Neodiprion lecontei: one gene and its partners. The protein of the gene in region 2 purifies or fractionates together with the protein of the main gene of each other region. This does not show direct contact. Links are inferred from orthologs where the notes say so. Each region holds a gene or a part of one and is shown on either strand. Other genes may lie near its edges. The genes, in order: CD2 antigen cytoplasmic tail-binding protein 2 homolog, probable ATP-dependent RNA helicase DDX23, U5 small nuclear ribonucleoprotein 40 kDa protein and U4/U6.U5 tri-snRNP-associated protein 1.

Evidence for each region.
Region 1: the proteins of probable ATP-dependent RNA helicase DDX23 (region 2) and CD2 antigen cytoplasmic tail-binding protein 2 homolog purify together in Homo sapiens (affinity purification with mass spectrometry; 6 studies listed by BioGRID and IntAct, counting the BioPlex papers as one, with this or other methods). This does not show direct contact. The link is inferred for Neodiprion lecontei from reciprocal best matches to the Homo sapiens genes DDX23 and CD2BP2.
Region 3: the proteins of probable ATP-dependent RNA helicase DDX23 (region 2) and U5 small nuclear ribonucleoprotein 40 kDa protein purify together in Homo sapiens (affinity purification with mass spectrometry; 3 studies listed by BioGRID and IntAct, counting the BioPlex papers as one, with this or other methods). This does not show direct contact. The link is inferred for Neodiprion lecontei from reciprocal best matches to the Homo sapiens genes DDX23 and SNRNP40.
Region 4: the proteins of probable ATP-dependent RNA helicase DDX23 (region 2) and U4/U6.U5 tri-snRNP-associated protein 1 purify together in Homo sapiens (affinity purification with mass spectrometry; 3 studies listed by BioGRID and IntAct, counting the BioPlex papers as one, with this or other methods). This does not show direct contact. The link is inferred for Neodiprion lecontei from reciprocal best matches to the Homo sapiens genes DDX23 and SART1.

What each region holds. Positions count from the first base shown.
Region 1 is NC_060264.1:18,405,212-18,414,324, forward strand, and holds CD2 antigen cytoplasmic tail-binding protein 2 homolog, read right to left. Parts: upstream 6,772-9,113; 5' UTR 6,216-6,771; coding exon 6,059-6,215; intron 5,508-6,058; coding exon 5,344-5,507; intron 4,763-5,343; coding exon 4,582-4,762; intron 3,283-4,581; coding exon 3,098-3,282; intron 2,128-3,097; coding exon 2,010-2,127; intron 1,233-2,009; coding exon 976-1,232; 3' UTR 896-975; downstream 1-895. Other genes in the region: RCC1-like G exchanging factor-like protein, read left to right, coding at 7,769-7,877, 8,463-8,723. UniProt on the Homo sapiens protein: Involved in pre-mRNA splicing as component of the U5 snRNP complex that is involved in spliceosome assembly.
Region 2 is NC_060263.1:14,775,860-14,784,467, reverse strand, and holds probable ATP-dependent RNA helicase DDX23, read right to left. Parts: upstream 5,708-8,608; intron 5,172-5,707; coding exon of another isoform or gene 4,831-5,171; exon of another isoform or gene 4,728-4,830; intron 4,572-4,727; exon of another isoform or gene 4,410-4,571; intron 4,220-4,409; 5' UTR 4,205-4,219; coding exon 3,573-4,204; intron 3,469-3,572; coding exon 3,136-3,468; intron 3,042-3,135; coding exon 2,619-3,041; intron 2,481-2,618; coding exon 2,354-2,480; intron 2,262-2,353; coding exon 2,138-2,261; intron 2,060-2,137; coding exon 1,944-2,059; intron 1,829-1,943; coding exon 1,568-1,828; intron 1,484-1,567; coding exon 1,309-1,483; intron 1,226-1,308; coding exon 1,002-1,225; 3' UTR 892-1,001; downstream 1-891. Other genes in the region: uncharacterized protein LOC107221402, read left to right, coding at 4,831-5,171, 5,708-5,962, 6,080-6,272, 6,456-6,666, 6,807-6,949, 7,087-8,608. UniProt on the Homo sapiens protein: Involved in pre-mRNA splicing and its phosphorylated form (by SRPK2) is required for spliceosomal B complex formation.
Region 3 is NC_060260.1:29,794,344-29,799,532, forward strand, and holds U5 small nuclear ribonucleoprotein 40 kDa protein, read left to right. Parts: upstream 1-1,931; 5' UTR 1,932-2,047; coding exon 2,048-2,161; intron 2,162-2,248; coding exon 2,249-2,378; intron 2,379-2,475; coding exon 2,476-2,789; intron 2,790-3,191; coding exon 3,192-3,464; intron 3,465-3,550; coding exon 3,551-3,716; intron 3,717-3,775; coding exon 3,776-3,828; 3' UTR 3,829-3,921; downstream 3,922-5,189. Other genes in the region: dihydrolipoyllysine-residue acetyltransferase component of pyruvate dehydrogenase complex, mitochondrial, read left to right, coding at 48-427, 590-889, 996-1,125; serine/threonine-protein kinase RIO3, read left to right, coding at 4,650-4,744, 4,846-5,027, 5,096-5,189. UniProt on the Homo sapiens protein: Required for pre-mRNA splicing as component of the activated spliceosome. Component of the U5 small nuclear ribonucleoprotein (snRNP) complex and the U4/U6-U5 tri-snRNP complex, building blocks of the spliceosome.
Region 4 is NC_060262.1:28,399,818-28,408,934, forward strand, and holds U4/U6.U5 tri-snRNP-associated protein 1, read right to left. Parts: upstream 6,546-9,117; 5' UTR 6,460-6,545; coding exon 6,297-6,459; intron 5,962-6,296; coding exon 5,510-5,961; intron 5,229-5,509; coding exon 5,100-5,228; intron 4,928-5,099; coding exon 4,508-4,927; intron 4,282-4,507; coding exon 4,119-4,281; intron 4,041-4,118; coding exon 3,766-4,040; intron 3,683-3,765; coding exon 3,595-3,682; intron 3,474-3,594; coding exon 3,275-3,473; intron 3,077-3,274; coding exon 2,890-3,076; intron 2,637-2,889; coding exon 2,482-2,636; intron 2,242-2,481; coding exon 2,214-2,241; 3' UTR 405-2,213; downstream 1-404. UniProt on the Homo sapiens protein: Plays a role in mRNA splicing as a component of the U4/U6-U5 tri-snRNP, one of the building blocks of the spliceosome. May also bind to DNA.

The DNA of each region.
Region 1 (9,113 bases), on a different chromosome or scaffold from region 2:
CATTTCAGTTACGTATCATTGTTCAGTGACATAAGCGAGCAGCATTATTCTCGTAAAAATTCTCAGCCAAAACGTAAATAATGAAAATTTTCTACTTAAACACATGTTTTATATTAATGTTTATATATCAGTTTGTCAATAGATATTCATTGGAATGTTTACCATAGAGCCGACAACATTTTTCTAAAGACTAAAATGGTTATCGCAACACTGTAAAAGTTAGCCTTAAGCAACTAGTTAGCAACTTTCGAAATGGTAATACCTTACTTTACTACATTTTTTTAAGTTTTCTAATGTTACATAATCTGCCTATATATAATCTGCTTAAAATATTTTAGGTATAAAATTTCAATTTAGATTTCACGAACTTTTGTGGCAGCACAAACGGTGTTCGAAGTTACAACCAACAATTTCGGACGAGTTCACTCAGAATTTTTTAAGTTAAATACACAGATTTTTTTCAACTGGAAATCAAGATTGGATAGTTTTTACTGTTTTTGATGTTTTTTTCTTCTGATTCGAAAAATTTACATGATAATGCTAAGCTTTTCTGTGACAGTGAAAGAAAATGTATAAGCAGAAATAATAATCTGTTCAATTGCAGAGATATTGGCAGATATCTTGCGTTTTAATATGTACTGTCTGTCAATTTTTTAAGTTTAAATTTTTATTCTATTAATAACCGAAGCACAGTATCACTTGCGTAAACCACGTATTTAGCTTATTTTTAAATTGCGAATAATTATGGGATAAAAAATTCAACAAACACTGCTGGCGATTTGAAACAGAAAAAAATGTTGTTTAGTTAACAATGCCGTAAATGGATATCGTACGATATGCGTACATTTCATATCACTTCATATTTATCGGATTCTGAATAATATCAAAAGCAGCATTAGGTAAATCGTTTTTTTATTTTCTCTTTCTACTTCCCTGCAAATTATACTTCACTTATCAAGTCACAAGCGTTCCATACTATAAATATAATTCAAAGTCGACCCTCGCTGCACTGTAAAATTGCCCTTGTTGACCAGTTCGTCGTACCCAAGCACCAGATTTAAAATATCCCTCCTTGGACCAAGCTTGCATTTGCTCCGTTGAGTGAGGTCCGTGAACCTCAGCTGTTTCATTCTGCGACCACTTCAGCTCCCATGTTACCATGTCTTCTTCAAGATCCTGCTTAACTTCTGTCGAACTCGCTTTTGATTTCTCAACTTCCATCGCCGACGAATCTTCAAAAATAATCATTCATTAGAATCTGTAATTATGGGGTGGAAGTTCGTAAAGTTAATGTAGCAATACAAATTGGAAAAAAAATGCTAGGTATTCCGAATTTAAGGATTATACGAATTTCATCAAACCACGATAAAGTAATACATAGTCTTTTTTTGAAAATCTAAATCCCCCAAAACTATTCTATAATTATCAAAAACTGATTTTTGTTTAAATGATTCGTTACATTAACGTTATTAACTTCAACCTCGTCTATAATTTACATACTAATTTTCAGGAATACTTTTTGAAATCTTAATTCTGATGTTGTCTCGAATAGAACAATTCTCAGGGGTAATTTTTTTTCCTTAAAGAAACGTGGAATATCATAATACAATTATACTTTCATCAGATCTGTTTGAAATGAAAACAAAATTTCGTATCGTGAGGTAAAAAATACCTGTTGGAATATTATACTTATAATTTACGCCTAATTACCGCCCAAAGGTTTACAAATCTTGCCACAGAAAGATGCATGACCTCAAATACTTGCTCACAATTAGTGTATATTACACTATTCTATCTTCAAATTGAAATGAGCTTGCAAATGCAGTTAATTCAACGGTAATTGTAAAACAATCGAATTAAATTAACTGAGAATTACTTTAAATAATTTATAAATATTGAATCTATGTCTAGCATTTTGATATTCTCGTTTAGGATCGATTTTCGATATTTACTTATATTGAATAAATGTAATAATTGGCACTGTTACACATAACTCAATGAGAACTTACCACCAGGAGCTGCATTTTCGTCAAGCTTGGCTTTTTCTTTAACATCAAAATCGTCGGAGTACATATCCAATTCCGCTTCCTGTTTCGATGGATGAGCCTGTTTCCCACTCGTCTCAATCTGCAGTGTCCCAAAAAATTATATAAATTACGAAAACGTACGTCGCGAGGATGAGTATTGAATTTTACTCCAAAAACTCAATGGGGATAAGAACAATTTCGAGTCTAACTTCACACATGTGTCTTGTACAAATCAAGCATTTCATACCAATTCGACCAGCGATCGACAGAATTCTGAAGAAAATAACAAGCTGTTTTGAATGAATTTGAAAATTATAACATGCAAAAAAAATATGAAAAACCCTACAAGTTTACAAAACTTGGTAAAATGAACATAAGTTTCTTGCATTTCTCGAAACCTGACACCCATTTAAATTTCGAAGGATACTCCTATGTAGTGTAAATAAACAAGTGCAAAGTTCAGCATGGAGTTGAAATTAGTTTGAACTTACTTTTATTACTACTATTATCTGTATAAATTATGATTATTGTAATATAAATATTACGTATATAGTATATAATAAAAATGTTCAATATAATAATTTAATACCTATATTTCAGAGCTGTTTCGTATGACTTGATGACAACATAACGTGATACAATACTTTTTATAATTATGAAGGAAAAAAAAAAATTCATAACTTTCAAACTAAATCTGAACCCATGACGAAAATTACACATATTTTCTTAGACCAAATCGAGTGTTCTTTGGAATTTTCAGTAGAAAAGAAACATGGTTTTTGGGAAATTTAGGATACTAACTTTTTAATTAATTTTTGTCAACTTTTAGGGGTTTCTATATTGTTTCCCTGTTGCAATTCGTCAAAATGATGAATACATCGGTTTTTGCGACGGCAAATGTTTTAGTTAGAGATCCAAATGGTATAATTATTTTGTGCTAAAGAATGTAATACGTTAAAAAGTCAAGATGGTATAGAATGGCTTACATGCAGTGTTTTCTCAATGCAATAAATACAGTTACATGTTAAGTAATCAAACTTACTGAGGATACTTATAAAAACAGTGCATACCTTTTTTTTAATTTGTTCATAACTTTCCTCGTATATATCCATGTTACCGGTCCGTGTCAAAAGTTCGTTTGCAAACTCTGTTAACTGTGTTATTTTTTCAGCATTTTCATTAGTTTCTATACCGGCTTGTGCTTCTTTTTTCTTTTTCCATCGTTCTGCAGTGGTCATTCTTTTGTTTCCTTTGCCTAAATATCATGGAAAATCATAGGTGAATATACTGCACGAAGAACTGTCAGTTGCATCAAAACAGCAACTTTTAGGTAAAATCATAACGAGAAATGCCTACTGTATTTGTTATCATGAAATGTGTTGAATCAAAACTTTGACAACAACCAGGTATATATCTTGTGAATCCGAAAAATAGGTGAAATCAATTTGTATTATAATTTGGAAATAAAATCCAACTATTCGACGGGGATGCGACACAATTTGTTTGAATACTTCTCTACTTTTGATTAGAAAACGATGGTGGGCCGTACTTCGAAGAAATCCATAAGCTTTGAATTCTCTACAAATTTTTCTCGAATTTGATACGTGACTTTTCACTTTCAATTCATTATAATTTACTGCTACTTATTTAGACATAATACATTGTGAAGTAATTTACTTGTTTGTTTAAATAATTTTTTTTCATGCGTTTCCTTTTCCTCCTCAATATTGTTCACTACTTCCGACATTTGTCTAGCATGACAATTTGCCACCGTCTTAAAAATGACCAAAAATAATTGATTGTGTATTAAATCGATTGTTGTATCCCGATTATCAAGTATCATCGCAAACTTGATTAGCGACCAACTCAGTTATTTATCCTCACAATCAGTTTTTGTTTTTTACTTCCATGAATGATGCAATATGATATTAATTTATCTGATTAAAGTATGAATTATTATCATTGTCTTACTTAGTAGGTACCTATTTGATATAATAGGTGAAAAATAAATGAATATTTTCACCTTAAATTGAAAAATATTTTTAATGAAACTATAAGTTCTGAAAAAACTTTTCCGCTATTATAGCTATAAGACTATATACTGAAATTTACGGAATTTTGGTTTCACATACACCGTTTCAGCAAACTTCGAGATAATCGATTAATCGATTAATTTTTACCGATTCCATCGAGCCTTATTCAATTATTTTTTTGGACTCGATTAATCGATACATCGATTATATTTAGCTTAGTGGCCATCGCTACACTGTCTTCTCTCTTTAAACATCTAACGAACTAAACTAAGTTGTAGAGGGCTGGAAGTACTATCACCTGGTCATACCTACTGCAAAAAAGCTAAGCTCTTTTGTCCATCGAGTTAGTTTATCATTTTAATTCATTTTATTAGGTGGGTGGAGAGATTTGGGGGGGGGGGGTTTGTTTTATCCCACAATGATTTTACTAGAAACACTAAAAAAAATTTGTCAAAACAATATTCAATAAACCCTTGAATGCAAAAAATTATATTATCAAACGCTGATCAATTAGTTTTTACCTAGTCTGCGAAGTGCTTTTGATACAGTTTCCCCAGGACGCAAATACTCGAGAATTTTTTTGTACAATGGCACGCTGTCAAACATTACTTCTTGTTCATCATCCTCGCTATCGCTGTCCGCCAATCCTTTGATTTTGTCACTTGTTTTATTGCTTGTACCTTCGCGTCCCCCAGATTTAATCTGTAACCCAATTTAGGCATTATTGTTTTTATTTTTATTATTATCAGAGCTTACATTATTAACAAACTAGTTGTTGTTATTATTGCCATGATTATGCGTTTCACACAGAACTATGAAAGTATAATTGAAAGATCCGTTTCATTTTTGGCTTTCTATTTCCCTTATAAAGTTTTTGATTTTGCAGTCACAAATAAAAAGAAGAGTTTCCATGATGCTATAGTTTGTCACTATTTTCGATATCGGTATTTCGCACCATTAACATTGTCTGAAATTTGATGAACCGTAACAAAGCCAAACATAAAACTTAAATTTTGCATAAGATTGAAGTTAATAACATTAAAAAATTTAGAATCATTGCAAAATACGAGTACAACTAGCTTTATTACAGTTCACAGTTTCAAAAGTTCCGTTGTAAGATTACGAATTTTCTAAAAAATTAATGAATTCGAAACTTGTATTAATTTTCCAACTTAAGATATTTTCGTAAAAATCTCATTGTATAATAGTCGAGTAGAATAGAGTATTTTTAACAAAATAAATACATTAGTAGCGGAATTTGATTTTTGAGCAGTGTTAACAACCTGAACCCAGTCAATGTTGTCAAGCCAATTGTCTCTGATCTGCTTTTCCTTGTTCCAGAGGTAATGACCATCCTTATCAAAGTGTCCCTCTTCCAATTCCTCCTTCATATTGAATGCTGTGAAGCCTACATCTGTCTCTGCTGCTACGGGATCGTCTTCCGTTCCTTTATAATAAAAGATTTCAAGTGAACACGAATTTCAAAGATTTAGAAAAGAATCGTATATAATTATTATTACTACTTAATTTGAATGAAATAGACAATATGAGAGAAAAACTGGAAAAGTGGCCCTGCTGAAAGACTTTGATCAGAACATTCATCAAAAGATTCTAAACAAATATTACAAATTTGAAGTTCATCACATTATTGTGACGATGCATTTTGTAAGAAACTTTGTTGAATTACAACATTAGCATTGCTCCAAATTATATAAACCTTAACGACGCCAGTGTGAAGCTCGTGTTTTGTAAACTTGACTCATTCAAAGTTGTTTCAAAGTTGCTATATTTGTTTTTTTTTTCTAACTTTTCATTGCATTAAAGTTACTAACTTTAATCTCGCATATTATAGAGAGGAATTCAGACACAATTTATCATCATTTGTATCATATTTTTGAATCCTATTCTAGGATATTCCTTAACATTAAAGTCTATTGAACTATTAAACTAAATAGAATTATTGGATGCGATTCGTAAACTAATGGCAATGTTGCGCACCTTCAAAGTCATCCTCATTCATGACATTGTAATTATCCTCATTGGCTTCTTCGTCCTCCTCATCAGAGTCTAAAGAATTCTTGACGGTCGGTTCTGTTTTCGCCCTACTATCCTTCCAGTCTTCACTCAGTACATCCTCGAGCTTACGCTTAGACATGTTATTCTTTCAAAGTTTTCCTAACGATTGATGTTATTCAATAAATCATAAGACTTTGCAAAGTTGTCAATTGCTTTGATGCGGTTAGTTTCAACTATGAGATAGTGGTGGATGATATAAGAATAATGTTCAAGCGTGTTATGATGGTGACAATGTTTTCATCCGGACGTTCAGTCACGCAGAAGAACGGATATTGTTGAATTGTTCATCTATACTTATTGTTGACCATCTCTCGCACAATATTACAACTTCTGAATCATGTGAAGTGAGTAAACGAAAAAAATTCCAAACACCCACAACATTCTTTCATTAACTAAGAATCACGTAGTCCGACAACGACTGCCAGATATACGCTGGTTTTTCACGTGCAGCATACAGCTTGGATGCGTTTCGATAATTTACTCCCAGTGCGTCAACAATCTTTTATCTCTTTTGCGCTACCGAGTTTTTAGCGCTGAGAGCTAATTTCGGAACGCACCCTTGAGCGCAAGACCGTCCGAATTGGCTATCTCCTTAGGGTGAATTCACATTTTATGGAGGAAGTCTAGTATACCCTTTCGTGCAAGCGTAAAATGGTATAGAGAGAGAAGTAGTAATGGCGCTGCAAGGGTTCTCTGTGTTGCCAACATAACTGTCAAGTTTAAAAAATTAGCCGTCTACACGGTCTTATTGTCCCCAAATGTACCTGTTACTAAATCAAGCCGTTGAATCGTCGCGTTTCTATCAGACTTCGGCGAAAATGCCCATTCCACATTTATAAATTGTATCGTTGCATTTAAAAATATGCTAAACATTGATATTATTGACTGTTTGTTTCAATAACCTGACCTACCAGGCACCAATGTATAATATGTATTTATATAATCTGGATTATTTCAACGCAATGCTCGAGGCACTCAATTACGATAGGTACGCTCTTGCTGTAGAAAGAGAGCGCATGTAGCATTACGACATCTCTCTCGCTCACTGGCTCGGGGACCTTTCTTTAGCGTCGATGCATCCTCTATGTCTATATGCTCTAAGGTTAGGCACCGCGGCACGGATCATGGTTCAGAGGTAACCAATCAAAATGCCTAAAATATAGGAAAATGTAAAAAGTGAAGGGTGGCGATCGTAACCTGTGAACATCCGTGCTACAAACATACTCCGTAAATTCGTAAAATACGCATTTGAAGTGAATGAAAACTGAGTAATTACTTTTCCAACTGACATTTGAATCTGAAGAAAAGGTGGCAAACGGCGAATTATAAGATACCGGACGGGGCGGGGGGGGGGGGGGAGAGCGCTATACGGGCTTACCCCGCAAGAGGCGCTTCAATCGCAACGTGACTATTCCTCATACAAGTTACGTTGCCGCAAAACTAGTCCAACGTTTGAGCCGAACGGTGCTTCAGTGTCGTCTCCTGCCGACTGCTCCGTGATTAAGTGTTACCGGTGTTACCGCAGATGAAACTCTAACCTCAAACAACAGACAACCGTGCAAAACAGTCGCTTACTCAACTATGCCATAATTAGTACGGCACGTTTCAAATATTGCTACAAAAGTTTAAATAATGTTTAAGCTAGTCAGAAATTATTCAAAATTATCTTCTCCAAAAGTCCGCCAAAAATTGACAGCAACGAATACAAAATCTCCAAACCCACCACCAAACGAATTGCCAGGTAACGATCACTCTAGGGATTTTTTACCGTAAACAAATGTGACATAATGAATAACAACATTGGCGATGTGTATTTGCCTGATACAGTGACTCCACTGGAGTTACTTCGATTTCACGAAAATAACACCGATGACACTTAAAAAGTACCCTGAATTTTACGTTACATGATATCAATCCTCTAAGAGTGATTGGTACTGACTGCGTTATTAACAAGTTGTTTCGTATTGTACTGTGTAAACAGAAATAAGACATGAGAATTCCCGAAAATCTTGCCATTACACAATGCAGGCTAAATTCACTCCAATCTCTTTCACGTCGCTTTAGCATATCTTTATCGCAGTCATTTAATTGTTCTAATAAACTCTGCGTAATGTTAAAATTCGGACCATTTGTAGTACACAAATTGTAGTGGTTTCTTCGAGAGTAAGTTTTTTTTGCCCCTATCTGATACATACAACTTATAATAAATTATTTTCACAAAAGGATGTTTCTAGTTTTTCAGGTGGGAGCAAAAAAAATATTTCTTAGACATCTAATGTCTTAATATAAATAATGCTGAAAATTTTTCTGTAATTTTGCATTGCAGTATTTCAATATCCAGTAAGTCAGAGTAGCGACCGCAGGGTGTACGTTTGGGGCCTTGCTGGTCATGGAGCCTTGGGACTTCAACCGCCGATCGCGAAGCGCAAGAAGTTCTTATTTTATCACAAACCGAACAGACTTCGATTTGCAGAACAGCATCGAGTGATAGATATCGAATCTGGTTATGGGTTTACGGTCTTTGCCGTTGACTCGAAAGATGGAAACATCCTTTGGGGAAATGGAATTAACACAGATTCTCAATTGGGTAAATGAACGTGAAGATGAAAATATAAATTCAATAAATGTTAGATATATCATTTAGTAGATTCCATAAGTTGGTTAAAATTTAATATCGACCAGATAACGTAATATTGTATAATTGGAAGTTGCATCTTTGTACACAACTTCTAACCCAGATGCTGTAAAAGAGGGATATCTGCAACATGGCACGTGCACGCATTTGTGCAATATGAATAAAAATTTGGGACAAAAATATTAAACTGATTGTATACGTGGGTAACTATCAATCTACATTCTGCGTTATATTTTCGATGGCATTTATCATAAACAGTAACTTGATTCTACAAGTAGTAGCCAATGGTTAGGAGTTGAAAATCGGATTTATTTAAACATTCCACACCTCTCTTTTACCTTT
Region 2 (8,608 bases):
CCTGATGTCGCGGAACTGTTGAGTCGGCTCTAGACCATCAAATGAATGGCTAACCAACTACCTCCGGCTTCTTTGCACTATACCTATAATGTATATCGAAATTGTTAGCACTTGGTACCGCACCGCGCACGCGTTGAGAAATTCACTCGCACCAGAGTATCGCGGAGTATAACGAAAAGCCTTCCCCCTCCAAAATGCACGTTTCACGATTGTCGCGAACAACAATATTTTCCGTTCGTACAATTTATATTTAGGACGCTTCTGCCCCCCTCCAGGTTATTTCCTGAAGGCTACGTAATCCTAGTCAGGTTATATCTATATATTATTTAATTCGTGTGAACGTATGTATGCCAAAAAAAGAACCACAGAAAAACAGGCCGTTGGCTCTGTGACAACAATTTCTTTCTTTTTTTTTTACAGTATTACGCCCGTTCATGAACTTTAAAATTATTCTCCATTCGTAACGATCGAAGGATGAGTATCGTATGTTTGCCATTGTTGCATATTGGAGGGAGGAGTTGGATTTTAGCGCCGAGATTTTTAGAAGGGATAAATATAGAATCAGAAATGCATCGAGCTTGTTTCTGGTCAAGGATGCTTGTCCGTTGCATGCCGTCGATTGATCGCTAGCAAATTGTTAATTACCTACCGGATTCACGGCGAAGAGATTTAAAAAATGGGTTCAACCAATGGGTATGTAGCTTTATTGTAGTTGGGCAACTTTTTTTTAACTTGATGGCGGTTGATACGCGGAAAAATTCAAATTTGTTTAATCACTTTTTATGGATATAATTGGAATACGGAGCATGACGTATGGAAACTAGTCTCGTGAACCAATATAACTTCAAACGAATACGCCGAAATATCTACATATATATCACATACATTATATCTATTGCAAATGTACACATGAAATTTATTGTAAAATATTATCGACGGACTCAATCACATGTAAAAGATTGAATCGAATTGTAAACATTAAAGAAGGAAACGCAATACATTTATGCAAATATCTTCTCTTCCCGCCTCTTCTTGGTGACCACAGTACCAGGCTTATGCTGGGCGTCGGGATGGTTGAGTAATTCCGGTGGGCACGTAGAGATAGGACTGCCCAGAATAGTCTGTTTTAAATCGTAGAACAAGTGGCTGTCGTCCTTTGTGCAGAAAGATATAGCAAGACCGGCTTTTCCCGCACGTCCGGTTCTACCGATACGATGAGTGTAATCTGATGAAAAAATGAGAAGCCATTAACGATGTTAAAATTTTGGAATTCTCATCGGAAGGATTTAAAATTCCAGAATAATTTACCTTCGATAGTTTTAGCCATGTCGTAATTTATAACCATTGATACATCTTTGATGTCGATACCACGACCAGCAACATCCGTGGCAACCAAAATATCCTTGCTACCACCTTTGAGAGATGCGAGGGCGTATTCTCTTTGTTCCTGACCTTTGCCACCATGCAAAGTGCAGGCATTGTACTGTGAATAAAAAATATTTAATAATGAAAGCATTCTATTGGACAATTTTCCTTACACATGTAGTATGAGTTTCCAGAGTCTTACCCCAAGTTTCTCAAGTCCTCTTGCCAAAACGTCGGCACCCTTCTTTTGGTTTACGAATATAATAACAGGCGGCTCGACACCACGGCTCAGTATTTCCATTAGCTTTCTTCTCTTGTCTGCCTCTCCCATTATATGAACTATTTGCTCTGTTCTTTCCGTTGGTTTTCCAACGCTGCCGATATAGACGACAGCAGGTCTCCTGAGATATGTTCTGGCAAGTCGTTCAACAGCTGCGGGCATTGTAGCCGTGAACATCACAGTCTGAAAAATTAAAATTTTTGTGATGTACTATTTTTTTTCCATGACAAATAAAAATCCAGAAAACAGATTCTATTTATTATCATAGGAAGGGACTTAAAAGATATTCGCCACCCACCTGTCGGTATTTTTTCTTAGTATTGTAATTGGCCAACAATTTTTCTTCATTCTCAGCATCTTCGTTGTCTGGTTTCAAATTTGTCACCGGCATGTATTCCAGGATCTTTTGAACGTCTGAGCGGGACAAAGAAGGCAAGGTAAGTATGTGTTTTATATTTCTCTGAGAGCTAAGAAGAGCAAAGTGTTGCTCACCTGGTTCAAATCCCATGTCTATCATTCTATCAGCTTCGTCGAGAACAATATATGTGCACTGATTCAAAACCAAATATCGATTCTCCAGGACATCTATCAATCTACCAGGGGTAGCGATGACTATCTGAAACAGTTTAATATCAAAAAATGAGTTAATTATAAGTTAAAAATTAACTTTCATTTGCATAAACGCGCAAATGTCTTATTTCATCGTACCTCACAACCCATTCGTAATCTGAACCCTTGCTCTTCTCTTGATAGACCACCAACAACAACAACAACCCTGATGCCAAGGGGTTGTCCAAATTTGTTAGTTTCCTCTTCAATCTGCTGGGCCAATTCACTATGGGATTGATACAAGTTGAATCATATTCACGAATAATGTAACAACAGTCATCAATCCACTTAACTTGCCGTGCAAAAATATTTATCATCAAAAAGTATTGTTGAAAAATATCATTTGCTCTTTTGTTTAACTCACCGAGTCGGGGCTAGAATTATGCTGTAAGGTCCTTGGTCGGCTTCTTCAAGTCTCTCAATTTTCGGAAGGCTTGTAATCCAAAGGAGCAGGGGAATTAGGAAAGCCAACGTTTTACCAGAACCAGTTTCCGCAACACCAATAATGTCTCGATTTTGTAGCCCAATAGGAATAGCCTGTCTTTGAATTGGCGTTAGGTCTTTATAGCCAACTTTATCAATAATATCCAAAATTTCTTTAGGAAAACCAGACTCTTTCCAAGATCGTATGGGATCAGGAATGCGGCCACCTTTTATTGTTATATTATAGTCTTCACGAAATATTCGCCAATCTCTCTCTGTCATTTCCTCAATTGATTTCTCAGACCAGTGACGATCATCCCATTTTTGTTTCTCTTCCTTCTTCTTAACTTTCTTCAGCCGCATTCTTAATGGGGGCAAATAAGTGAATTATTCATTTTTATATTAAAAAAATTAACTACTTTGTAAGTTCTATAAGTATAATACCACTAGCATCTTACTTTTCTTGTTCCTTTTCAGCATCAGTACGTCTTTTTTCCAACAATTCACCATAGAATTTACTTTGATCTCGCTTCTGTGCCTTTATATCAATTCCAGCAAGATTTCCACGACCAAAAAATTGCACCTGGTGTCGTTCCTTGTATATGTTATTATAATCCACCGAAGTATCCTCGGAAATGTCCCAATCAAACACAAACTTTCGATCGTTTAACCTTCTCACTCTACGCTTCTTTTTAATTAATCCCAAGTAGCGTTCTTTGATTGCCTCTACCTCCTTTTCTTTGTCTTTGTCTTTGACCTCGTCGTCTCTGGATCGCGCTGCCTCTCTACGCCTGAAAATTATTTATATTAGAAATCATACTGAATATCGTAACATAACTCAGTTTAATGCAATTCACCATCTACCGAAATAAAACAACTCTGAAGCTCTTTTTACTTGTCTCGATCATCCCATTCACGGTCCCTGTCTTTGCCAGTGCTAGGCCCATCATTTTTAAAAGCATTTTTCCTTTCTTCTTCCTGTCGTTTCCTGATGGAATCAACTTCCTCCTGTCTTTTTTTCAGAGCTAGTGCAGCACGTTCTTCTTTACTCAAAAACTTGGGCTTAGCTCTTGCTTCTTCTGCAGCCTTTTTTTTTGCCAGCAATTCCTCCAAGCTGAGGGGCTCAGCCTTGGCGGGCAACTTTGGTTTTTCCTCTGTTTCATCGTCACTTTTTTTAACATCACTTCTGCTCTCCCTTCTAGCATCATCTTCCACAGAAAACATTGGACTGAGTTTATGTTTTTTCTCATCTTTACCTCGATCCTTACCATCTTTACGTTCCCTCGACTTCTCTCTCTCCCTGGACCGCTCTCGTTCTCTCGTTCTGTCTAAATCTCTCTCCCGAGATCTGTCTCGCTCGCGTGAACGTTCTCGAGACTTTGAACGCTTCCTGTCCTTCTTCCGATCCTTGGATCGGCTTCTCGATCTCCGTCGCTCCCTCGTTTCTCGTCGCTCACGTTCTCTCTCGCGTTCTCTATCCCTTTCTCTGGATCTACTCCGCCTGACAGGTTTTTTCTCGTGAACCATGGCAGAGAAGTAACCCTGAGAGAATTTTAAAACACAATAACGAAGACAATATTATCGTTGGCCGAGTTTGTTTTACATGTATATTTGCTCAACAAGTGAAAAGAAGAGAATTCTTCATAATCTGTCTACTGTCACCATTGCCGCTTGGCTGTGCAGATACGCATTAATTTTACTTTGAATCGTGAAGAATTTTTGAAAAAAATACCTTGTTCCTTAGGTTCGAGTCAACAGAGACAGTTATCGCGCATGAAACAACTTTCTTTAGTCCATCGTGAAACTGTATAATTAATATTTAACCTATTCAACGAATAAATGGAACAACGTTTTCTCGACGTCCTGGAACACAGAATAAAAAATTGTAGAAAGAAGTCGAATCCGATTTTAGAGTAGTATACGCTCTAAGGATTACGTTTACCTATCGAAATATATCCATAGAGCACAAAATGTTGCATAGAGCGGTATGCGAGAATGGACGGTTATCCAGAGGCGAGTCTCCTCTCGGGTGGAGGAAACGAACGATCACGGGTTAAAGTTAGCAGTAAATCGCAGCTGACTGTGACAAAATGGTAGGGCATTCTCGGTTAACGAGAGGTGATCAAATTGTATATATTGCCGCGTAAGGAACAATGAACGTTGATAGCCATGGTCAAGTACAACAGCCGGCATTAAAAAGCTCGAAATCTGTAAATATAATAGATGATAGCTTGATCGGCAGTAAGAAAATAAAACGAGAAAGACCTGACGTTTACAGTGACAATGGGGGGCAGCCGCCGATCGGTGACAGTAGTGGCTCTCAACAGAACAGAATATTCAGCTACAACAATACATCGTCCTTGTGCGTTAACAATGGTCCTCATCAAGCCGGTGAACTCGTCAAAGATATTCTCGCCGGGAAAATGACAAGCATCGCCCCCAGTCCCGTCGATAAACATGATAAAATTAAACAAATGCTAGAAGATGCCATCAGGTCAGTTTCATTCGAACATTTCAAATATTTCTTTTCATTCACTCCCCACTTATGCCGGTGTCACTTATATTTTCCGTAATTTTTATCAACGCTGTTTGGCGGTGTATGTACATATACTTATGCATTTCCCGGCATAATCTTGCTTTATCGATCAATCGGTATTTCCATCTTTTGTTCACCCTAATCCCGATTCTTTGACAAATTTCGATTTGTTACAGCAGATTATTTACTCAATTGAATAATTTTATCATTGCCCACTGTCATTACGTTCTCCTCTTACAGACGATTTTCATATCACTTATCAATATTTTGACCCGTGAAACGCATTTTTATAATATTTTTAACCTATATTATTTACTTTTTTAATTAACTCTTACTGTGAAAAAAAAATCGCGATTCATGAAGCAACTTTATGTATACAATTATGTACAGTATTCAGTGATATATGTATAGGTATATGTATATAATGCATTGGAAAAATTATTTGTTGTGTTGCATGTGTTAGCAAAAAACTTACTCCTTTATCTATTCAACAGTGACGACTCGAAATGTAGAGTACAAGGAATTTACTTACAAGTAGAACAATTGCGGATAGAAGAAAAGCTCCTGTTGTACTTGAAATTACCAGCTTCGTTGACCAAGTCTGGTGAGAACGTGGATCCTTTGAGACAGCCTTTAAATCCTCTAGGAAACCGCTATGAAATTCACCAGACCATAATGTGGATAAAAACTCATCTTGAAGAAGATCCAGACGTCTCTTTACCTAAGCAAGAAGTTTACGACGAGTACAAGTGGGTCCTTAGTTGAATATGTTTTGGAGTGCAGTTAAGCCCTAATTTTTATTCAAAGTACTGGTAAATACAAAGAATAAGCTGAAATAAACTGATCCGCACTACCTCTTATTTTAGCATGTTCTGCATAAAGAATTCTATGAAGCCTCTGTCCACTGCTGACTTTGGAAAAGTGATGAAACAAGTTTACCCCCGAGTTAGGCCGCGGCGCCTCGGAACACGCGGTAACTCTCGCTACTGTTACGCAGGAATGAGGAAGAAGATTAAACTGGATCCGCCGATGCTGCCTCCTATAACCGGAGAACAACCGGTGAATTAGCTACATATTATAGACACAGATTTGGACAATGTTTTACTTTTAAAAAAAAAAAAAAAAAAACAAAAGTATAACATTACAGAAAGCGTCCCAGAATCACCGTATTAGTCGCAATTTCATATGTATTAGTTCTACCGTCTTCAAAGTTCACTAACACCACCCATGTGTTTCACATAGATCGACGAGGAAGATGAGATCACTGAAGAGATGCTCGGTGCTGCTTCAACGCTGATAAGGGAATGGGCGGAAAGTTTACTTGGCTTGAAGTTCCCTTCGCTCAGTGCTTTAGCTCGGCATTTGGTGAACAATCTTTGCGTAGACACACGGTCACTGGCCGCGGTATGCATTTTGTGCGCTGCCTCAGATCCCCAGACTGTAGGTAACAAAGGTTAGTCAAGAACTATCTAGCGATCCTAATGTCGTTTAAGCATCGCGAATAGCGTTCTCTTCTTTGAAACACATTTGAAGCAAGAAAGCATCAGAAATCCCAATTTTACAAATTCATGTAAACTCGTTTCAATTTGATAGAAGCTCCGTCACCATCACCAACAATACTGAGCAGTGAAAAACCGGGAAAACTTAGGGAAGCCCAGTTGCAGCTACAACGCAAATTGCAGCTCCGTGAGCATATAAGGGAGCAAAAACTTCGTAATCATGACGCAATTACGCAGGTAATGTGAACTGATAATAATGCTATCCACTAATTTTCCGACCTCGACAATGCAAGAAATAATTCCGAATGTTGATATGTCTAAGTTTAGTGCAAGTGTTTTGCCGATAGCAAAAATAATTTTCAACTGTATTTCAGAATCAGAACAAAGAGAAGACTGTAGATATTAAGGGAGGGGGGGGAAAGGGCAGCAAGAAGAATAAAGCGAGTCAGTCATTACAAGGTACAGGAGGAGGTCCGTTAGCGGTGCGAACCATACCAACCAAGTGTAATTTATCTGTTGTAACGACGAGTCGGCACAAAAAGGTTCTTAAATCAACTAGCAACAACTACGCGTGCAACAGCATCTCCCTGCAATCTAACTGTGATAATATAGTGGTAAAAACGAGCGAAGTCGCGTCTCGTAACAACGAGACGAAGGCGGTTGTTACTAGTACAGCAATATCGTCTAAAGACCCTAAAATAAGAAATCCTCGGAAGCGTGCCAATTTGAACGTAGGATCTATGAAATCTGAATCAGTTGTAGAAAAACAGCCAAAATTATTAAACTCACCGGATACCGTACAAACGGTGAATAACAACCCGCTGCCAAGACTTGCGTCGATTCAGAGGACTGGTGGTAGAAAATCGGCAGTGTCTGCAAACAGCGTAAAATTGACAAAATTCAAAGTGATACAGGCCACTTTTAATCAGCCTGAGGAAAACTGTGATATCCAATCTTCTAATCGGTCTAACAATTGCGCCAAGCTGAACGGTTGCCAGAATGTCTCTGATATAACCGACGTCTCGACAATAGCTAACAAACAGCCTCAGCAATCGCAAGAGAGTTCCAAAACTACGAATAAAACGAGCAAAACCTGCACCCTTGACTCCGACGCTCTGGACGACTATTTAAACGGAGGAAATAACTCTCAAGAGCAGGAAGAAGAGCTTTTACAGTATTTTCAACAGAGCAGCTCCTCCAGCTCTGACACAGAAGTGAACAGCTTATCGACAGATGTCGATCTTGTATCAAGATCCGACAAAGTATCCCAGTTACGATTAATCCTCCAGCAAAATTTGAAAGTAAACGCGACTGGACATTCAACAGCGGAAGATCCCGTCACCGTTCTTAGTCCAGGAATAAACTTGGCATTGGAAAAGGCTGGCATCGCGTCCAAACCCAACGCAATATTGTCTTCGCTCCTCAACTATCCGAGCCAATCGGGTACCAGGCGTCGAGTAAGTTTTGAAACGAACGTGGTGGAGCACTTCCAAGATCATAGCAGTCAGGTTTCGACGGTCCCTCAAAGTCCAAACACGCGCCGGAGGATATTCAACTTCACCCCAATTTCCCCTGGTCCTTTATCCCCGATCAACGGACGTGCTTCCAAGCCCAACTCCGCCAATGGAAGTCCCTTTGTCTCTCCTAGAAACACACCCGTTCCTCGTTCGCGGAGTAACGTTCAATCGAATGTCTCCAGATCCCGTACCTCCCAGAAACCGTTCTCTAGGTCGATGTCTTGCAGCACGCCTTACACGAACAGAAACGACATATTTGTCGTGCCTACAGAAATAACCAGGCCCATATCAGCTTCTCAGTCACCTCCGAGCGGCGGTAAATTGAACGACCTGCAAACGCCTGCCAACGCTACAAGCGTCCTTGCCAAAGTGGACGAGC
Region 3 (5,189 bases), on a different chromosome or scaffold from region 2:
CAGGATACTTTTAGTTTCGAAGGTAATGGATTTTCTGTCTCAAATAGGGTCTCAAGGGTTCAGGATTATACGCTTCAGTGACTTCCAAAGACCTTGCAGGTGCTTCTGCTGCAGCTCCCTCTTCGTCTGTTGGCGCGCCAACTTCAGCACCTGCAGCTGGAGGTGTATACACAGATATTCCAGTGTCAAATATCCGAGGGGTAATAGCAAAACGATTGCTTGAAAGCAAACAGAATATTCCACACTATTATTTGACAGTTGACATTAAGATGGACGCTGCCTTACAAATGAGGGAACAATTCAACAAAATGTTAGAAAAAGAGCAAGTGAAACTTAGCGTAAATGACATCATCATCAAAGGCATCGCAATGGCTTCGAAAAAAGTTCCTGATGGCAACACTGCTTGGCTTGGGGATGTCATTAGACAGTGAGTTCTCATAATGATATGAAAAGTAATTTATAATTGAACGGGAGTGATCGCAGAATGAAATAAGTAGTGTTTCGTACCAATTGTATACCAAAACAATGAATTTCCTAACCTAGGCATCTCAACTAAATTAATATTACATTTTCTTTTCCTCCTCTTCAGGTATCACAATGTGGATGTAAGCGTCGCTGTAAGTACAGACAATGGTCTTATCACTCCGATTGTATTCGCAGCTGACACAAAGGGTATTGTACAAATCAGCAAAGAAGTGAAAGCGTTGGCAGCAAAGGCGAGAGATGGGAAGCTACAGCCTAACGAATTCCAAGGTGGAACGATTACTGTATCAAACTTAGGAATGTTCGGTATTAAAACCTTCTCCGCAATCATAAATCCACCACAGTCCATCATTCTGGCTGTTGGTACGACCGAATCTCGATTGATTCCAGCGAAAAACGAAAAAGGGTAAACTAAGAAATCTCCTAATAGTACCTAAACTAGTCTTATTAGACTTATTTTCAGTTAATCGAGCACTTTTTTCCATCATATTGTTACTGTTCAAATTTCACAGATTCGAAACTGCAAACTTCATGAGCGTTACAGCCAGCTGTGATCATCGCACTGTGGATGGAGCGGTTGGAGCTCAATGGCTCACAGCATTCAAAAGTTTCATGGAAAATCCAACGACGATGCTCCTATAAAGAATCAATGTGCTGAGAAATTACACTCATCAATTCTACAAGCCTACTTTAGATCATCCCTAAGAGCCATCATGGGGTATGCGACAAGTGGATTGTCCTGTGTACATTTTTTGTGGATAATAACATTTAATTGATTTTGCGGATCACTTAAGTAGCACCAATTTTATAACATAATTTTCCAGCTTGCAACACTGTAGATTACTTTGCGTGTAAAATAAGTTTGCTTCGCGATAAGTATATACCTATGTTACATACGTATGTATGTACTATTCCGTAGATTTGAAAATGTACAAAAGAATACACAAACTGAGTTATATTTGCCGTCGTTAAATGTACTCGTTCAACTGTTGAACGCATCTACGAACGTATGTATAGCGCGATAAAAATGTTATTTCCTATTATTTATATAGATCAAATCAGTTTAGTATCCTCAGGTAACTGATACAGAATAAACATGTACATACTTGATGTTGCCAATCTTTTCGTCCTCTTAATACGGTAAATGTTGGCACTGCGATGATAATGTTTAAAACATTAAAATCTAAATAGATGAAAATTAATGCTACTGTGCAAAGTAAATAGATATTTAAGTAATCTAAGTATTTAATAAATTATACAATATCAATACTTGCCTTATTTTTTACTTGTTCAACTACTAATATCGTCCTGATGTCAGCGATTCATAACAAAAACAATCGTGTGTACCAATCATCGGTGCGTCACATAGAAAAACAACGGAAGACCTCGCATCAGTAAGTAAAGCACAACCCATACTGACCGGCTGTTGCACAGATGTCAGCGTACCACCCAATTCGCAATCACAAAACGCTAGTGTCTTTTTACTTTGGGATGATATACGCACAGTTCGGCTGCTCGCTGGTTTGTTGTTTGTGAACAGACATTTGACAATTTTACAATAACAATGCCAATCTTAGACAAGAGAAAAGGTGATGAGATTCTAGCATTGGTGCCAGCTTCGAAAAGGACGAAAAATGAAGTGGTTTTCAGCAGTAGAGAAAAGGCGGTGATCCAAAGTGTAAATATAACCTCACTTATATTTCTCTGAGAGACGAATTGAGACACTTTTATTACTTGGAACTAAATCGGATAATTCTTATCACAGGGCCCTCCCAGAACTTCATCACTTATGGCGCCGATTATGCTCCTTGAAGGACACCAAGGAGATATTTTCTCTGTTGAGTTTCATCCGGAGGGTCAATACCTCGCATCGACGGGTTTTGACAGACAAATATGTGAGTAAATACTATGCAACATGTTTCAATATTGCATGTCGGATAAACTCTAATATATATTCAATTATTATATTATAAAACTGCCCCATGATAACAGTTATATGGAACGTCTATGGCGAATGTGAGAACATTGCTGTAATGTCGGGCCATAGCGGCGCAGTGATGGAAATGCACTTCAGCCCAGATGGCAGTAACTTGTACACTGCAAGCACAGATATGACCCTGGGACTCTGGGATCTCGGATCTGGATACAGAATAAAGAAACTCAAAGGACACACATCGTTTGTTAATTCTATATCCGGAGCTCGGAGAGGACCTACACAACTTTGTTCTGGCAGTGATGATAGCACTATTCGTGTCTGGGATCCAAGAAAAAGGGGCCAGTGTCAGACTCTTAATAATACCTACCAGGTATGCATTGTGTCTTGTATATCAGATAAGACGTGGATACGGTTTTATCAATGAATTTTAAATCAGTCAGAAATTCATCAGATGGATCACAGAAGCTAAAAGCTCTTCCAATCAAATGCCAAGTATAGAAAGAAATCGATAACCCAAATATTAGTGATATTTCCATCGAACCTACAGTAGTTTTATAGAGTTTTAGATACATAATAATCGTGATTTATCCACACATTGAGTTTAGAGTGCCATCTCAGGAGTAGAGACAGACAACATTCATTACTGTTGCTATAGATCGATTACACAAATAATATGCATAAAACCATTTGTACAATGTTCTTAAATTTTTACTTTCTCTCCTTACTCTGATCTGTATACGTCTCAGAGTTATTTTTACTTTTGTATGTATAGGTAACTGCTGTGACATTCAATGATACAGCGGAACAAGTCATCAGCGGGGGTATTGACAACGACATTAAAGTTTGGGACTTACGAAAAAACGCAGTGCTCTATAGATTGAAGGGTCACACAGATACGGTTACTGGTTTGAGCCTGAGTCCAGATGGTTCTTACATATTATCGAATTCAATGGACAACACCCTTAAAATATGGGACGTCCGTCCTTTTGGACCCTATGAAAGATGTGTAAAAATTTTATCCGGCCATCAGCATAATTTCGAGAAGGTGAAGTTAAACCACATAGCATTTTTTCATTTTCTTTTTATGCAATTGTCCAATTTTCGTAATGTTGATTGAACAATGCTTTGCAGAACCTTCTGAGGTGTGCATGGTCACCAGATGGCAGCAAAGTGTCTTCAGGATCGTCAGATAGATTTCACTATATCTGGGACACGACAAGCCGACGTATCCTTTACAAGCTCCCTGGTCATAATGGATCAATTAACGATGTTGATTTTCATCCAAAAGAACCAATCGGTAAGTAAAAGCAATTCATCTTGTGCAGGCGGGAGTCTAATATAATTCTCATGTTTCAGTTGTTTCCGGCTCCAGTGACAAACAGATATACCTTGGAGAAATTGAAGGCTGAATACTGCCCTTGAGATTCTAAACATTACTTTTAAGGAGATACGATATGATTTTCCAAACTTCATTGTCAATAAATCAGTACCTTGTATTTCAATTATGACGTTTTTTTCTTTCTAGCTGTTCTAAAACACCGAATCTCACCATATTAACACGTTCAAAACTATTTCATCTGTCCGGAAATTTATGAGTAAAAGATTTTTGTAATACCTCAAATCATGAGAAAAAAATCCAGATTCACTGCAAGGATTAAATACAAAGGCTAAGATTTTCCCGGATATTTCTGTGCCGAAGATGCTCTTCCGTATTTCATCCGGCGAATGAGCATCGTAAAATACGTTCCCACCCACAAGATATTCTGTTTCTACGACAATGACATGTTTGACGTTTGAAAACCGTGGCGCTGGACCTGCCACCTGTGAGGCCTATCCGCGTATTGTTGGAAGCCATTACCAGTGTCAACGCAATAAAAACTTAGTTCACTCCTTGGTTAAAAATCAGTAAGACTACTTGTTCAAATTGTAATATTCGAATTTATTTTGAGGTAAGATTACTTTAACGTAATACAGGATTGTACTCTGTCATAAATAGTATGTAGAAATATGCATAGATCAATTCACCCTCGACAAGGTCTTTCCAACGTATTCTTACAGTATGTATATGTACAATTATGGCGCAATCGATTGACGACTGAATAACATTTTCGAATTGCGTTTGTGTAAGTTAACGCCAACAAAATCACAGTCCACTGATACATCGTTTTGTGTTTCAGTTTATATTATTAATATTTATATCTAATTATAAATTTAAATTATTATCATCAAGATGTCATCACCGTGGGGTAAAATTCAACCACCCGCGACAGCAGTCAGTCTTACTGAAATAATGTCAGAGGAAGTGGCTAAAGACTTACAAGAAAAGTAAATAGTTATCTACTGTTCAAGTTTCCTGATGCCATTACGAGTTCTGCGTTACATTTAGTGTTTTTCCTTACACAAGTTTGATATTTATTATTTTTCAGAGAAATCCGTAAACACGCAGACCTGGTAATGCCAGAACCAACACCAGAAGAGTGCGGATTATTAGAGCTCGATGACACGGATAGTGATGCAGTGATTGCACAAACGTTGCAAGCTCAGTTCAATCGAGAATATGACTCAATGCTTAAACGTACTGAAGATAAATTCAATGGCTTTTCCAAAGGTGCGTTAAACAATGCAAGACTGTTGAAGCTCGCGATAAATACGTTTTACTTCTCTTTCCCATCGTAGTTAATGTTTCCTATTCAAATTATCGAACGTGTCCATCTGTCGAACCTGATGAACGTAAGCCTGAAGTAGACGAGGAAAATAGAGACTGGGATAG
Region 4 (9,117 bases), on a different chromosome or scaffold from region 2:
GCCTTCTTACTGCAGAAGATTATATACTGTTTTACAGCAACCAAAGACTATTAGATGAAATAAAAGAAAGGGAAAACGTTACAACAAAATTGTAAGTCAGTGTCGTATATTTATTATCCGAAACAAACATTTTTGAATCATTCATTGATCTTAGTGACTTGACAAACTTTGGTAAAAATCTGAAATAGTTTGTGAAAATTTTCAGTTCGCGGCAAACTGGTTTAGTGATTTATACGCGGTTGTAAGAGATGAAGTTCACCATAAAATTGGAGTCAATCAATGGGATTCAAATACGTGATAATTTTCTGTATGCTGTTATAAAATCTGTGAAGAACATAGAATTTTGCTAACTATTGAAAAAGTTGTTTGTGATCATTTGAGATGTGCAGTTTTTGCCAATATCCTACAATATGTGCCACTATGAGAGGATAAGGAAGATTTATGACCGACACGACAATAACACAGACTGTGAAGTGGAATTCTATACTGCACAATCTTATTACAACTCAACATCTGAACTGTGCTCTGTAAATTTTGAGTGCCAATGATTTTTTTATAGCTAATAATCAACCAACTAATGAACAATGCCAGTGTATACACACAAATGGACTTTGAAACATAAGAAACCCAATTTTACTTTTAGCTTTTTTTTTTCAAACCAAATTATAAAAACCGCTTCTACCAAATCCCTAGACCAGTTTGTATAATCTTTTACATTTTTAGGCAAAATGAACGTGTCTGTAACTGCAGACATCCGTTTTGAATAGCTTTTGAATCACAAATGCGTATAATCGATCGAGATGCACAAATAAAGCTTTAATGCTAACATTAATGAACGTATGCTTCATAATTGTTATTCATTAGCATAAATTTTGTAGATCCATTGCTAATCACTATCTACATTAGATATATGTGACGGTTTTACATATGCAAAAATAACATTCAGATATTTCCCATCCCGAAAAGTCCGACTTTTTTATACTCCGAAGTTTTTGCAAACATATCTCGTGTAAATAGTGATAACAACTAGGGTAACGATTTTATGTAGAAGGCTACAATCAATCATACAATGCAGTGTAGCTAGTAAGAAACCTTTATAAGTATTTGTTATAGTTTTAATAAATGTGAACATTAATCAAAACGTTGTATTCTTCACTGTGATTCAATGTATAATTTTCTTAATAACATAATTCGAGAGTCTGGTAATGACATACAAAGTCGGATGAAAGTCCAAGTTAACGATAAATTTCAACGTCGGCATGTGTAAAATCAACTATGTATTCAGGTAAGTCGTTTATTTATTATTGAAAAAGGTTTCATTCGAGTTTTACATATACATGCATGCAAAGTGAAATAAAATGAAGGTGATCAGGTCTATTGATTGCTTGTAATCTGCAAAGTAATAACTAAAATTCCTTGCACCTAAATTGTTTTAAATGACATTTATTAATATATACTTAAAATTCAAGCATTTCTGATATATGTGTAGCAAACAGAATATACGATTTTCGGAAGATATCACTTTTTCCACGAGGCGGAATTTTTGGACATAGAGTTGAAGTATAAATTTTGCGACCAAAAAGTAAATGAACATCCTAAATTTTGGGTCACTAATTTTATTATTCTTTTTTTTACACTTTTACTATTTGTTTTAGTTTACTTCTTCGTACATTTTCTCTCAAAATTTCCTAATCATCAGTTTATGCTTCGAATATTTGTATTGCTATAGTGAATCAGTTTTCATTATTTAGAAGATTCCAGTTCATACTTTTCAAATTTCTTATTTCCTAAGAATAAATTATTACGGTTTCAATTGAATAATTGATTTGACACTGTAATGCAAACAATAAATTCTCCTAGTTTCGGTAGAGAACTCATTATCTACCGAAATTAATTTATGAACTTTAATAATTGTATCATGATATTGTGACACCTCATTACGGTGTTAAAGGTAATTGTAAGCGTCTAAACAATGGAATTATACACACATTTAAACATATGAAATTGTAAATAATACAAGGATAAAAACGGGTTTTGTATTATAAAGATGATCAAAATTTTTTTAATAGGATCTGCTGATTTATGTAATATTCTAAAGATACCTGAGAACTGAGCTTTAGAACACTCACCCTTACGCAAACCTTATCAGAGATTTAATATTACATTATGTATAATAATGTACATCTTGATTTTCCATCTTTTAATTGATAATTTTAATGCTTCGTCTTTGATATGCTCGTCCTGAAAATCGTTATATGAGCACATTACCACCAGTTTATCCATGCCTTCAGATTCTAAGTGAGTATCTTTGTGCACAACATATCATAATATGATGCATTGAAATTATTACCTACACCAAGTTATTGGAGGAAGAATTTTCTATCACACATCAACTATTGGAATGTACCGAAACTTTTCACGCAATATAAAATTGTATTAACCAAGTTATTTCCCATGAATAGCATATTGTGTAAAACTTACGTTTGCAACTGCTTGCTGCCACTCAGCACAATGTATGGAGATTGTGTTTCTTTTTGCTTAGCTTGCAATAGATTAAGTGTACCTAGTGGAGTATCAGTAGAAGACATCCGCTTCATCAATACTTCTTGCTCAGATTTCTTCATTCTCTTTTCCACCTAGTTATAAAAAGTATTAACAATTCATGGCATGAAATTATCATTGATTCATCAATGATCAGAATATACATATATAATTATATTACGCATTGCATTCAAAATCGGGTAAATAGCAGATTTATTGCAGCGCTACAAAATAGTAACTATTATAAATGAAATTCTGAATTGACATTTCCTATTATAAATTTATAAAGCTTAATATCATTAGCATGCATTGTTCTACATAAATAGATTAAAATATTTTTCAATATACCTTGTTCTTCCCAGGACCTTTACCATGAAATTTATGAGAAAGATATCGGAATGCTTCCTTGGCACTCAAAACGTGTCCATCATCGTCGATATATTCCAACTTGACATTGGGCTTAAATCCGTCTCGTTCTTTGAATTCGGAAGTTGGTCCATTAAACCTATCTCTTCTGCCAAACTTGTCATCATCCCTGCATTTATAAAATAATTAATTGATCAGAATCTTCTGAAAACAGTTACATTCAAAACAAATTAAATGGGTAAAAGTGTACAAAGAAAAGAAAAAAAACTGAAAATAATAGTATATTGGTTTAAAATAATGATTATTGTTTTATTTTTTTATCTTTGAGAAAATTCGAATGTATTATAATATCAAATATAGTACTTACCCATAAGTTTTATCTTCAATAGAATAATTTTGTGCCTGTAAATGAGCAAAACGGGATGCAGAAGGTCTGTTAGTATCCTCTTTTTGTAAATAACCTTTACTCATTGCAAGTCTTAGAGCACCGCCTACACCCTGTCCAAGCGATGGTTCTGCATCCAAAATTGCAGCCTCCAGTGTTATTGGCTCAGCTGCAGCTTCATCTTTGAGGTATGGGTAAATTTTGAGATTTTATTGAAATACTGATAAGGCATAAAGATAGTTCATAATTAAACAATTATCAGGAAAGGAAGTAGAACGTTAGTCAAGTAAATGCATTTTTACCTATTTTTACTGTATTCCAAGCTCCACGGCCATCAGCATCTTCTCCATCATCTACCGTTTCATCTTTGATCCCCTCAGCCTCAAAGTCCTGATCAACATGATGAACTGTTGCAATACTTGTTATGCATTGAAAGATTTTGAGTAGATAAATAATTACTAGAAACACGTTACCATGAGTTCTTGAACATTTTCTTCCCTGTTTCCAGCAAGCCCGTAAGTTGGAATGTCTCCTAATGTTCTACAAAATTCAGCAGTCGCATTGAGTACAATATTACCAACTTGATTGTCATTTGAATTGTCAATTTCTTGTTTTATTGTTTGAGCAACTTTTTCTACCCCAGTTTGACGTGCTAGTTTCACACGTTGTGCTTTTTTCAATGCCAACTGCCATTCGAGTTCTCTGTCATCATCTTCAATTTTAACACCCGACAAGTCTTCACTTGTATCTAAATTCCAAGGAAAATGTAATTGATGTAAATTAAATTAAAGGAAGTAGGGATTATATTGTTGAAAAATAAATTTACTTTCTGTATCATCGACATCCATAACAAGATTTTCAGGATCCTCATGATCCTTTTTTTCTTTATGTCTTGAATTCCTTCGACTTCCTAAATCTCTGAGATAATCAGTTGTATCAGGAACAAGATCGTCTGCCTTCAACATCTTTTTCTGTCTGATTTTTCGGATCTAAAAGTTGCAATTAATATAAACCATACTCTAAACACTAAATAAAATGTTCAGATAATTTTATTTTTATATTAAGTTCCATTAATCTATTGCTTTATTTCAGTATCAAGTCACATGATCTATTTTTTCCTATTTACCATGATTTTAAAACGAAAAATTATATAGAACTGACTAAATTGTTAGAATAAGTTGCGACAAAAGGTTTAGACGTTGAATACTATCTTACTTTTTTCTTGGGTTTCTTAAACTTTGCCAACTCTGCATCAGTGTAATATTCACTAGCTAACTGTAGCTCTGGCATCCTTAGTGTTTCCAATTTTTTGTTCGCTAGGCGGTGTTTTACAATTTCAGTTTGTCGTTGTTTTCGTTCTTTAGCATTATCATAACCAATGGCAAAACTTTCCTTCTTCTGTCCATCTATCTCTTCATCATATTTGTCTAGAACCGTTTTCACTGGGAATCCAAACTCATCAAAATTGTCTTCATCATACGCATCGTACCCAGGTTTTTTAGTTTTATTCAAATTACTGCGCGAATAACGCTCTTCGTCCAGCATATTTACGTTTACTAGTACATCTTCATGCTCATCTAAAACTGCCTGATCTTTGAGTGTCAGTACAAGGGTCTTGCCCTCCTCAAAAGTATCCTGTAACAAAAATAATTAAATTTCGATTTAATCATTACATGTTATTAACAAAATAAATGCAATATTTCATGGAACATGACTATATTAAATTTACAACTGCTACATTTGAAACCCATAATAAATCCTAATTACAGTAAAGATTTTTCAATTCGACAGAATATATCAAACTTACCATGTCATGTTCGACTTTGAGCCCTCGTAAATCTTTGTTCGAGTAGGCTGAACGACGTTCACTTTGAACCTCTTCCTCAACAAGAGTACCTATACCGAACTCTTCGTCCAACTGATCCAACATTTTTGCCTGAATAATGAAATTAGAAATAGTCTTTAAATGGATAGATGATCGTGCTTGACTTTCTTACATGAAAGTTTTCAAATACACATTATTAATATAATACAAGAGTGGTTGGCTCTACTTCAAGCATTAAGATTATTTAAAAATATAACATAAAATACTAATAACATCAAATGCAAATTAATTATTACAGCATTATTTCATAAGTATTTTAATTTTAAACTTGACGGTGCTGGCATAAATTGAAATAATGCCTTTAAGCTTTAGGTCAAGTATTCTGTATTTACCCTTTCATCAGCCTTCTTTTTCTCCAACTGAAGGAGACGGTTTTTTTGCACCCAAGCCTTGGCGTCATCATCTGAATCGCTTTCGCCCAAAGTTTTGAGTTTTGAAAGATTGGATTCAATCTGTCGTTTTTCCTTCTGCGTGTTCAGTCTATCTTTGATCTTTTGCGTTTTTACTTTATCGCTAGTATTTGGTGCTGGCTTGTGATAAAATTCTCCTAAATCATCTTTGATTTTGTTAGGATCATCTACAGAGGTAGTACTGGTCTCTAAAGGTTTTAGACCAAGCTTTGCTCGTAACTTATTTGTTTCTTCAACTGACAATGATGTCTGCGCTGCTCCTCCTTTGGTTGGAGATGCACTCCTTTGACGAGATATTTCTGGAGGAGGTGGTGGCGTCAGTGCATGTGGTATTCTCGATATTTTTGGAGGTGGTGGAGCGCTGACAATTTCAACTATAAACACAAGAGGATAGTTTCTTAATACACGATATTATTAAGTAGTATAAATGTACATTAAATTTGCAACTATACAATATAAAAGTAAGCGCTAATTCAACTCAATAGCGCAATAATTTTTACTAATAGACTTGGATTAGTAGTCCTCTGAAGTACATAGCACGAACATTACATTGTAAAAAATATATGAGAACTATTACGGTTTTAGGGTAGCTTTGAACAATCAGTTTTAAATCTATGCATGTGTAGGTGTTTTGGTGAAGGTTTGTTACCTTTAAAGGTGTAGGATAATAGTTACGTTTACGAAGGAAAAAACTAAAAGAGGTTAGTACCATCGCTGTCGTGATCCTTGCGTTCTCTTCTTTTATGTTTTTTGTGATGCCTATGTTTGTCGACTTTTTCACGTTCTATAGAGTGCGATCTAGAACGGCTGCGATGACGTTTTTTCTTAGTTTCACGAGTTTTTTCAGTCTTGTGCCGCTTATTAGATCCCATTTCTTTAATCTTAACACTTTAACCTATAAATTTAACTGAACGTCGAACTTCGTCTTGTGTTGAATAGACTTTATCACGATCACGAACTACTCCGTGATCATGAGATACATACAACAGAAATTACGTGTTCCACTGATGTGTTCGTAAAATCAGTGGCTGGCCAAGGTGACCTTAGAGCATGTAGAAGGCGAGTAGCTAGTTTTAAGTTTTCCCGCCTACACGCGCGACTCAATCTGGCAAGCGGTTGATAAGTAGCGGCGAAACGAACTGATGTTACCATCGCTCACCGCGTGTACGCAGATAATGCAGTGAAATATTCTTATACCTATGGAATGACGAACGGGAACAAACTGATATTTTCATATAACTCCGTATGGACGCCGTATACTTTTCAACTACGCAAATTCATTTAGGCCAAATTCGGCAATGTCAATTTAACTCCATCGGATCGACAAAATTGATGTCATCTAAATAGGCGCACAATAAACATGCACCTGATTTACTGTTAACAAAGTTAGAAACCTTTTCTTGATGCGAAGGATGGGAGATATAGTCGAAGAAGTTAATCAAAGGATGGAGATATATATTTGTTCCTATATGTACCTTATGTAATTTCTGTACATATTTTTAATACTTGACTTATACGTTTAACTGAAGATAATAATATGTATCTTCAGTCAAGGCTCATATCTTTATTCCAAAAGAAGATGCAGCTGACATATCAAAAATTTTTCCCACTCAATAAGTCATATTTTTTATTCCAACTGATTTGTGAATTGCGTTCTTGACGAATCACTTCCTTTAAATAAATTTATATGTATAATGTGACAAAACATTTCTCTTGTTCTTTTTAATTGAGTCTAAGATGCCTTTCTTTTTATATATGTGAATGTAATAATTTGTTGAAAAAAATATTTAACAGTAGATTCAGTTAAGTGGTCTAGAAATCAAGCGGGTATACAAATTTGTCATAAAAATTTTTAAATAATTTTCTACAATACACATCCAAAAGCGAAGACGGGAGTTAATTTCTTACTCTGCATTCCATCTTTTACAATGGGGCTTTTAGACAGATCACCCGTATCTCGAACATACAAAATGTGAATATAGTTCTTTTTGTTATTTTTAGTACCCGGTTAGTACTCTGACTAAACTAGAGAAATCCGAAAGTATTACGATTCCACACGCGTTACACATTATCGAAGCACGAGTTTTATTGACAATGAGTTAAATTAACACAAGATAAAATTTTCATTTGAAAAACTATAATATCTTAGTATTTGACGAGTGAAAATGAGTTCACTTATGCTCGTTTCCACACCACCGCAAGCGGTAGAGCACCCGGCGCGTTTTTTTTTTACGTGGTATCCCCAGTAGGCCTACTCCACGGAGAATACTTGCAAGATCGATCTTACGTTCTTCGAAAAATTTCAAATTACTTTTTTCATACGTTAATTACGGTTAAATGATTTTCCCAATCAATTGGTACTCGCATATGTTTGCAGTTTGTTCGAAACTTTTCAGTTCATATGACCCGTTAACTATTTATTATGGATGAAAGATGACTGTTTTAATTATGGATGAAAGATGGTTGTTTTAATTATGGATGAAGGGCGATTGTTTGTATCTTATTTTTGTATCAATAAAACTCAGTTACCTAGAACAGATTAAAATAGAATTAACGAAAAAAGGACAGTTTAATTAGTCGAAACAGACAAAAGGTTTGATTAACTGAACCCGACAAAAGTTTGATTAGCTGAAAGAGACAGAAAGTCTGATTATCTGAAACAGACAAAACATTTGATTAGCTGAAAGAGACAGAAAGTTTGATTAGCTGAAACGGACAAAAGGTTTGATTAGCTGAAATAGACAAAAGGTTTGATTAGCTGAAATAGGAAAAAAGTTTGATTAGCTGAAATAGACAAAAAGTTTGATTTGCTGAAAGAGACAGAAAGGTTGATTAGCTGAAACAGACAAAAGGTTTCATTAGCTGAAACAAACAAAAGGTTTCATTAGCTGAAAGAGACAAAAGTTTGATCAGCTGAAAGACGGAAAATTTGATTAGCTAAAACAGGCAAAAGGTTTGATTAGCTGAAACAGACAAAACATTTGATTAGCTGAAAGAGACAGAAAGTTTGATTAGCTGAAACAGACAAAAGGTTTGATTGGCTGTAATAGACAAAACGTTTGATTAGCTGAAACGGACAAAATGTTTGCTTAGCTGAAACGGACAAAAAGTTTGATTAGCTGAAATAGACAAAAGGTTTGATTTTCTGAAAGATACAGAAAATTGGATTATCTAAAACAGACAAAAGGTTTGATTAGCTGAAACAGACAAAAGGTTTGTTAACTGAAACAAACAAAAAGTTTGATTAGCTGAAATAGACAAAAAGTTTAGTTAGCTGAAATAGACAAAAGATTTGATTAGCTGAAACAGATGAAGATATGGTTAGCACAATCACATAAGTTTATACACTGACAAAAAATGGGTCGATCCAACGTGATATTCATGTTAATATTTGTTGCTTCGATCATTAATTTTATTGATGAATAAAAAACATTCTAAATTTTTTAAATCGACATCTCTTTCTACTTTCAGTTATCACAGTGAATATCTTTTTCGACTGATCATTCTATAGTTCTCGGTGTATTTGTTAA